Linked DNA regions of Coturnix japonica. The protein of the gene in region 2 purifies or fractionates together with the protein of the main gene of each other region. This does not show direct contact. Links are inferred from orthologs where the notes say so. Each region holds a gene or a part of one and is shown on either strand. Other genes may lie near its edges.

What was found.
Region 1: the proteins of EDC4 (region 2) and DCP1B purify together in Homo sapiens (affinity purification with mass spectrometry; 3 studies listed by BioGRID and IntAct, with this or other methods). This does not show direct contact. The link is inferred for Coturnix japonica from reciprocal best matches to the Homo sapiens genes EDC4 and DCP1B.

What each region holds. Positions count from the first base shown.
Region 1 is NC_029516.1:51,549,079-51,552,733, forward strand, and holds part of DCP1B (mRNA-decapping enzyme 1B), read left to right. Parts: intron 1-1,796; coding exon 1,797-1,932; intron 1,933-3,655. UniProt on the Homo sapiens protein: May play a role in the degradation of mRNAs, both in normal mRNA turnover and in nonsense-mediated mRNA decay. May remove the 7-methyl guanine cap structure from mRNA molecules, yielding a 5'-phosphorylated mRNA fragment and 7m-GDP.
Region 2 is NC_029526.1:1,597,411-1,601,065, reverse strand, and holds part of EDC4 (enhancer of mRNA-decapping protein 4), read left to right. Parts: intron 1-758; coding exon 759-795; intron 796-1,567; coding exon 1,568-1,748; intron 1,749-2,126; coding exon 2,127-2,282; intron 2,283-2,650; coding exon 2,651-2,766; intron 2,767-3,430; coding exon 3,431-3,596; intron 3,597-3,655. UniProt on the Homo sapiens protein: In the process of mRNA degradation, seems to play a role in mRNA decapping. Component of a complex containing DCP2 and DCP1A which functions in decapping of ARE-containing mRNAs. Promotes complex formation between DCP1A and DCP2.

The sequences.
Region 1 (3,655 bases), on a different chromosome or scaffold from region 2:
ATCATGGTTGAAAACTTGTTTCCTTCTTTCTCACCATCATGTAAAGAATCCACTTTGCATTAGGAGAATAAAGAAAGGCTTTAATTAGCTTTGAATTCATAACTTCTATGTACATATTAAGAATATTTTACATATGTTATGCAACCTTAATTCTGCAATGAAATGGGAGATGAAGATTTCCTACAACACTGTATTAATCTTACAACATAATGGATGGCTTTTTAACTGACACTGTAGTGGCTGTTTTTTTCACTGTCACTGCTTTTTCCATTTGTTCAGGATTGACAGGTCTCATTCATCTGTTTTTCCCTCTGCTTGATCTAATGACTGCCTTGTTTGCAATGATTTGTTTCTTAAGACTACATTCTACAGGTTTTCTTGCATACTTGGAAGAGGAAGGAGCTGAAATCTTACAGATTTTATCAACGTACATAATCTGCATTTTTTGTTTTTTTATAGAGGTATAATGTGAAGTTTATGTAGGAAAAGGACGCTGTAGGAATGGACACTTTAGATGTAGTAATTGTGGTATAGAGGGCTGGACTTACCATTATGTCACAGTTCATGTAAGGGATAGGAAGAGGAATGATTTGAAGCTCAGTCCTTGTCATCCCAGGAAAGCCATGGGAGGCTGATACAGTCAAGCCATCATCATTAGGTACTAACAGGGGGCAATGTGAAAGCATAGTCAGAACTGAGAATCTCTCCTTTTCATGTCATCCGTACCAGTCTTAACAGCCTGCTTAGCAAACGTGTTTCCGTAGCCAGAAACATGCCGAAGAAGTGATATCAATTCTGACTGCCAAATATCAAGTGCCTTTTTTCGTGTCCTACAGTACAAGTCCAAATAAGGCTCATCCTTGTACATCTCATTACGTAGCAAAGTGCTTTGACTCTTCTGCCACTGTGTTCCAGATTGGACTTGTTTAGAATACTGGATAGGGATTTAGTCATGTTTCCCCTACATCTTTTTTTAAAGAATTCACTGCTGCTTTTCATTTTGCAGTGACAAAACATTGTTAAACACCGACTGTAACAGTGGTGGGGTTTTGTCTGGGTTTTTTTGTTGCTTTTGCTCTGTGTTCTGCAGCTCTGAACTGACTCGGTTATGACCCAAGGAATAATTGATGGGGATGAATTTCCAGAAATAAGCAGTGAACCCTAGGAAACCCATTTTTTTGACAGCTAATTTTAGTTAACTAGCTCAAGTTTCAGTTGGTGGTGATTAGGTACTCTCAAACTGGTAATTTACCACAATAAAAACTAGTTTGCAGAGAATTCATGGTATTGTAAACCATGTGTAGTCATTTATAATAGCGGTGTTGTACATGGATTAGAAAAAGAGAAATACCCTATCATTCAGCCAATTGGCTGTGTGTTTTAATTCTCAGCATTCTACAATAATAATAAAGCAGCTGGGGCAGGAAATTGGTCATTTGCTGGTAGTTAATGACTGATTTGTGTGTGTTTGCCATCCTCTGCCACCAGCAGAACTGAATAACATTATACATTCCCCGCTCCTTCTGGGTATGGAAATTGTGACTGAGTTATGGAAATTTTAGGGTATGACCCACTCTATTTTAGACTGGAGAAAATGTTTCTTGCACCTGGTCAAATTATGCTTTATTATAAATATTTGAATACAGATTTTTAACTGTATTGTTATGTAGTTTGGGAGGTGAGGGAATCAAAACAAATTTTTTAAAATTCTTGTAAAGTAGTTGTAGTCAAACTTTTTATATTTTACCTGTTTTTGTCTTTGTCTTGTGTATTCTCCTCTCACCTCCTACTTTCAGCCTAACTCAGCAAGAGCAATTCAAAGCACAGCAGGGCACGGGAACAGGAGTGTCCCCTATGATCACGAATTCCACTAATAACAAAGAAGTGGATATCTTACGGATGCTTACCAAGGCCAAAGACGAATACACCAAGGTGAGATTTGCTATCTCAGCTCTTGTGTTTGGTGATACTGTGTTGCTAATCATCTCAGACTTTACATTTTAAAACTTTTTTTGTTTTTTTGTAAAGTAATTTTACTCAATGTTAAGCTGATTTTTGGGCAGAATGCTCTGTCATTTTTTGAAAGTATATACATTTTGTCAGAAATTTCTAAAGATTGGAAAGAACTGAATTCTGTCAGCAACTCCTCAAAGACAACGTGAATGAGATTTGATTATTTGTTGAATGCTGGGGTATAAGGGCAAGTGTAAATTGGCTTTCGTTTTGACCTTTAGAGAGCCTGTGCTTTCAGTACATGAAATTTGTGTCCCCTTTTAGGTTGAAGTATTCAAAACTGCTAGTAGTTTCTGTGGCTTGCACAAATGGTTTACCTTAGGGAAAACCTTTAACTTTGAACTTAGTGCCTTTAGTTGTAGTTATTGTCTATCTTAGACACTATTGGAAGCAAATGAAAAGGTTGAAATGTAGTGTGATACTGCATTGGTCTCTGAGGCTTCTAAACCACAGAGTAACAAATGGACTAATAATGTTCTCTATTATTGGATAATCAAAAATGTTTTACTTCAGGGAATAAAGATCTAATAATTTTAACTATTCATATATGTGCTGCAAATTGTTTCAGAGCCTGCAGGTTCCTACAGCTGTTTCCTGTATTTCATAAGTGTTGCCATGCAGCAATAAAGGTCATTACATAAGTGCTTTGAGTCTAGAAGTACGTATGTTTTAAACATAAGCATAGGGGGAAAAGAAAAGTTCACTTTGAGAAATGTGACTTCTTATCCTCAAATAGCAACTGTTTGAGTTATAGTAACATATATGCCTTTTCTTTTTTTCTGTTAATATAGTTTATTTTGAAGCTGGGATCTGTTTTGTCTGTAATAAGGATTTAATATATTAATAGTCAAGAAACGCTTCCAGTTCCTCGTATCTTTTTTTATTATTTTTAAACTGAACTGGTGTCTAGTCTTGGAATAGAAGGAATTTGATTACTTCAGTGTTTCATAATATAATTTCATTAGATGCCTTAAGAATGGAAAACTAGAAAAATACTGGGTGGACATTGGATACTATGAGAAGGATGTAGTACGTGTTTTAAAAACTACCTTCCACTTCTACACAGCACATCAAGATCAAGGAAAGGAAATTGTAGATCTGTGTTTAGTAGTTTCTTGATTTATTTATTTTTTTCTGCAGCTAAGTTCTTTGCCAGATTTGCATCATACCTCATCTTTAATCTTTCTGCTTATAGGGAAATAACATGAGAACCTTTCCTTCTGGGACATGAGCATTATTATCTGACTGCTATTGAGCTGTGTTTGTGCTCTTTCTTGCTTGATTGGTAATACAAAATTAGAAAGGGCATGAAAAATAAAGTCAGTGACAGCTATTGTTGTATTTTATGCCAATATGTTCCATAGCAGTTGTGCTTTTTGGCTCTTTATGACATTTACTTCTTTGTCAATATATGTCTTAGAGTTTACAGTACTAACATGCTGAAATGGGTTATGAATTACGTTGTTCTTCTTTCTGAATTCCATATGGTTTCAGAAAATAAGGTGCCTTTTAAATTCTTGTGAGCCTTAAGATAAGAATATCATTTTTTCCAAGCATTTAAGGAATTCCACCTAATTTATAAGTCCTAGGTTATTATTTCTAAAATCTGGTGAGAAGTGTTTCTAGGAGGCTTCATCATGAT
Region 2 (3,655 bases):
CATTAGAAATTAGAGCAACCCGTCTGTATTAACGAGGGGGAAAGTAGCACAGCTTCTGCAAGGGGCTTTTCTCCTCTTGTGCTCTCTTGGCTCCCTGATTTGAAGCCTTAGCTGTGCAGGTTGCAAAAGAAAAGATAGCTCGTGACATTAAGTTTCTGGCTGTGGTCCTTCACTGTGACACCCAGAAATGCTTTTCATTTCTCTTGCCTCGGTCTTTGTAAAGGTGCTGAATGGATGCAAATGTGTACTTCCCTTCTAGTAGTTGGTTTTTTTTCTTCCTGAAGGTTTCTTCACCTTCCGAACTGGAATAGTTAGAAATGTTTTGAAATTCATTAATTCTCTGTTTCACAAATGAGTACTGGGTTTTTTTCTTTCTGAAATATTGGGAGACCTTCAAAAGCTCTTTGGCAGAGCCTTCCCTGCCTTTGAACTCAGACAAGACTGATTTGTTCTTTTTTAACAGCCCCCATTCAGACTTGGCTCAGATCTGCTGGGTGTTGAAAGCAGCCCTGTGAAGGGACCAGTCTGTAAGGGGCTTAAGGGCCTGTGAATACTGCAAATGATGGAGGCACAGAGCAGTGGGGACGGGACTTCCTTGCCTTCCTGTTGCACTCACATTATAATAGGCAAAACAGAAGTTAGAGCTGGGTGTGAAATCTAAAATAACCTGTGAAGTGAGTGATCTGTTTGGGCACTTCTGATAATCAGAGCAGTTAACTGACAGAATTAAGTCCCCATTTCTCTGTCTTTATCTCTAGGGATGTGAACCAGTCACCAAGATCATCTAACAACCAGGTGAGTCAGAGCTGCTTCTGCCATCCCTTCCAAGGGCCTGATACCTCAGCTGATTGCTGTCATACTAAAGACCTGAGAGAAGAATCATCCCTATTAAGTACCATGGGCCCTCTGCTCTCAGGCGTGGCATTGCTCCGTTCTGTGGCTTGCGCAGCAGAGAGGAAGCTGCTTCCTTCCTTCTCACTTTTGCATGTTGATTTTCCTTTCTGTGTTCTCACAAGCTCTGTATCATTTCAAACTCCACACCTCATTTCCTCTTCCCTGTTAAGATGGCTTGCATACATTGGCAGCAGGGTAAGCTGTTCCCAGCAAACTAATGATCACAGTGGGACTGGCCTGGTGGGGTATGTTTCTTCTGTTGATAGCACTTCTTTATCTGGTAGAAAATGTGCTCAGCAGAGTTAAGTGCACTTCTTAAACTGCCCTTAGATCCACATCCTTCCTTTATATAAGGACCTCTCTGTACTTGGCCAAAAGTGAATTGGTTCTGCTTATTCCTATTTTCTTTTTTAACACCAGAGCTTAGAAGAGAGTTTTGAATCTACACGATTCAGCGTATTCTAAGCAACCATTTATGAGATCCATGCAGATCCTTCATGTACTTGGCTTTATCAGTTAATTTATCGTTACAAAAGTCTTAGAAATTGGCGTTAAGCTGGCCCAATTTTCTGCTTTGTATGTTGTGCTTCTGTCTCTGGCATGGGGCTTTAACACCTAGCAGAAAGTTTGGCAGGTCCTGTCAGGAACGAGTGCTCATCCTCTCCACACACAGGTGACACCGGAGTTCCAGGAAGAGCTGATGTGTGTGTTGAGGAGCCAACAGCGTGAGCTCTCTGAGCTGCGTCAGAACCAGATGGAGCTGCTGCAGAGGCTCACAGATCACCTTGATGCCATTCAGAGCTCGCTGATGGGCCACATGGAGCGGGTGATCGACTCCCAGCAGGAGCAGGAGCGTATCCTTGTTGGAAATTGGAGTGGAAGGCTGCGAGGCATGAGGAAGGCTAAGAAAGCTCAGTAGTCTTAACAGCATGGGCTATAGGTGCTGTAAAAGAAGGCCTGGCTGCAGTGTAACAGTGTAACTTCACAGTCCGTTCCTGAGGGCAAGAAGCTTTGAAGTAGAATAGAGCATTGCTACTTTGTCCATACCCCTAAATCTTCAGCCAACCTATGAAGGCCATAAGCACTGCAGTGCTTTGGGAAGTGACTGTGTAGTTCCATTCCTTATTTTTTGCCACTACTTTCTTAATACACTGGAGGATCTTGCCCCTTAGTTCTTTGATGGGTTACTTTATTGTCAGCTGTTTGTGCTCCTTAACGTGCATGCTTGCTAGAGAGGAGACTGGATCGAGCACTGACAGAAGGACAGCAGCGCAACGGGCAGCTCCAGGAGCATCTCTCTCAGCAGCTCTCTCAGACCCTTTCCAATGCTGTGTGCAACCGTCTGGAGAGGACTGTTCGTGAGGAAATGAAGAAAACAGTACCCCAGTGTGAGTGCTGCTGCCTGGGTTTTGAAGGTGGATTCTGGGGGAGGTGGGAGGCATGCTCTGTGAAAGCGCTGGCACTGCTCAAAGTAGGAGTTAGGTTGCAGGAAGACTTGTCCTGGCGTGATCAGGTCAGTTGTTACTTCATCTGGATGAGTCCTTAAAACCTTCAAGGCTTAAATTCCACAGCCTCTCTGTTGAGGTCTGGTGTCGTGTCCAGCCTTAGTTTCCTAAGCCAGAGTTTGTGACCTTTTTCCCTACCTGTGTCATTTGGCACCCGTGGGGAGAGACTGACTCTATTTTCTTTGTCAGGTTTTGATGTGTGGTACCAGGCTTTTAAAGCTGCAGCTTTGATGTGTTTGTATTGTGCCTAGGCATTTCCAAGAGTTTGGACCCAGTTGCTGGCCAGCTAAGTAACACCATTGCCACCAAGCTCACTGCTGTTGAGGGGACGCTGAAAGAGAACATAACCAAGCTGGTGAAATCAAAGGTAAGGAGAACCAGACTGTAGCAATGCCTGAGGACACTGAGTTGTCACCTGCATGGGTAGTGACTCCTCATAGTTCTTCCTCTTACCTGAATCTCCAGGTGGGTCTGAGCTCAGGAGAGCTGACAGCAATCAAAGCTTTCTTCTGGTTTCATCAGAAAAAGCAAGCTCATTGTGTGCTCCCCTGCCTGCTTTGCCTTGTTAGTCCTTTCTGCCATTTACCAAGTTGTTCGTGCTCTATACTGGAGGATCTCACTAGAGAGCAGCTTTTAAGGTCACTTTACTCAGCCAAGTGTTGAATGCTTTTAGGAGCAGAAACTTGTCGCTTGCATTAGTAGGCAGTGATGGGTTGTGGGAGGGAAGCTGGGGAGGAGGAGGAAAGAAGCCATGCCTGGCTGCACCGCCTTCCCTTGCTCTCAAGCTGAACTGCATGGAAATTGTCATTTTTCTTGGGCAGCCCCTCAGTAATCATGTGCTCTGCCTGCTGTAGTCATGGTGCTGCTTAGAGGAAGGAGTTCAGCTGCTCAGGGAATGTGTGCTCCTGACAGACAGGACTCTCCTTACCTGGTGTGGGTGTGTGGTTGGGACGTAGAGTGTTTGTTCACATCTCTGTCCTGCAGCAGGCTGTTGTTAATTATCTGGAGTATCTTCTGTGTGTTCTTGTAAGAACCTTACAGATAGCGTTGTGAGGGCAACGGCCGATACCCTGCAGGGCCCAATCCAGTCAGCCTACAGGGAAGCCTTCCAGAGCATCGTGTTGCCGGCCTTTGAGAAGAGCTGCCAGTCCATGTTTCAGCAAATCAATGACACCTTCAAGCAGGGCACACAGGAATGTGAGTCATTCTGAGTTTTCTCTCTACAGCACTTTTGTGTTAGTGGCTGACAAGTTGGC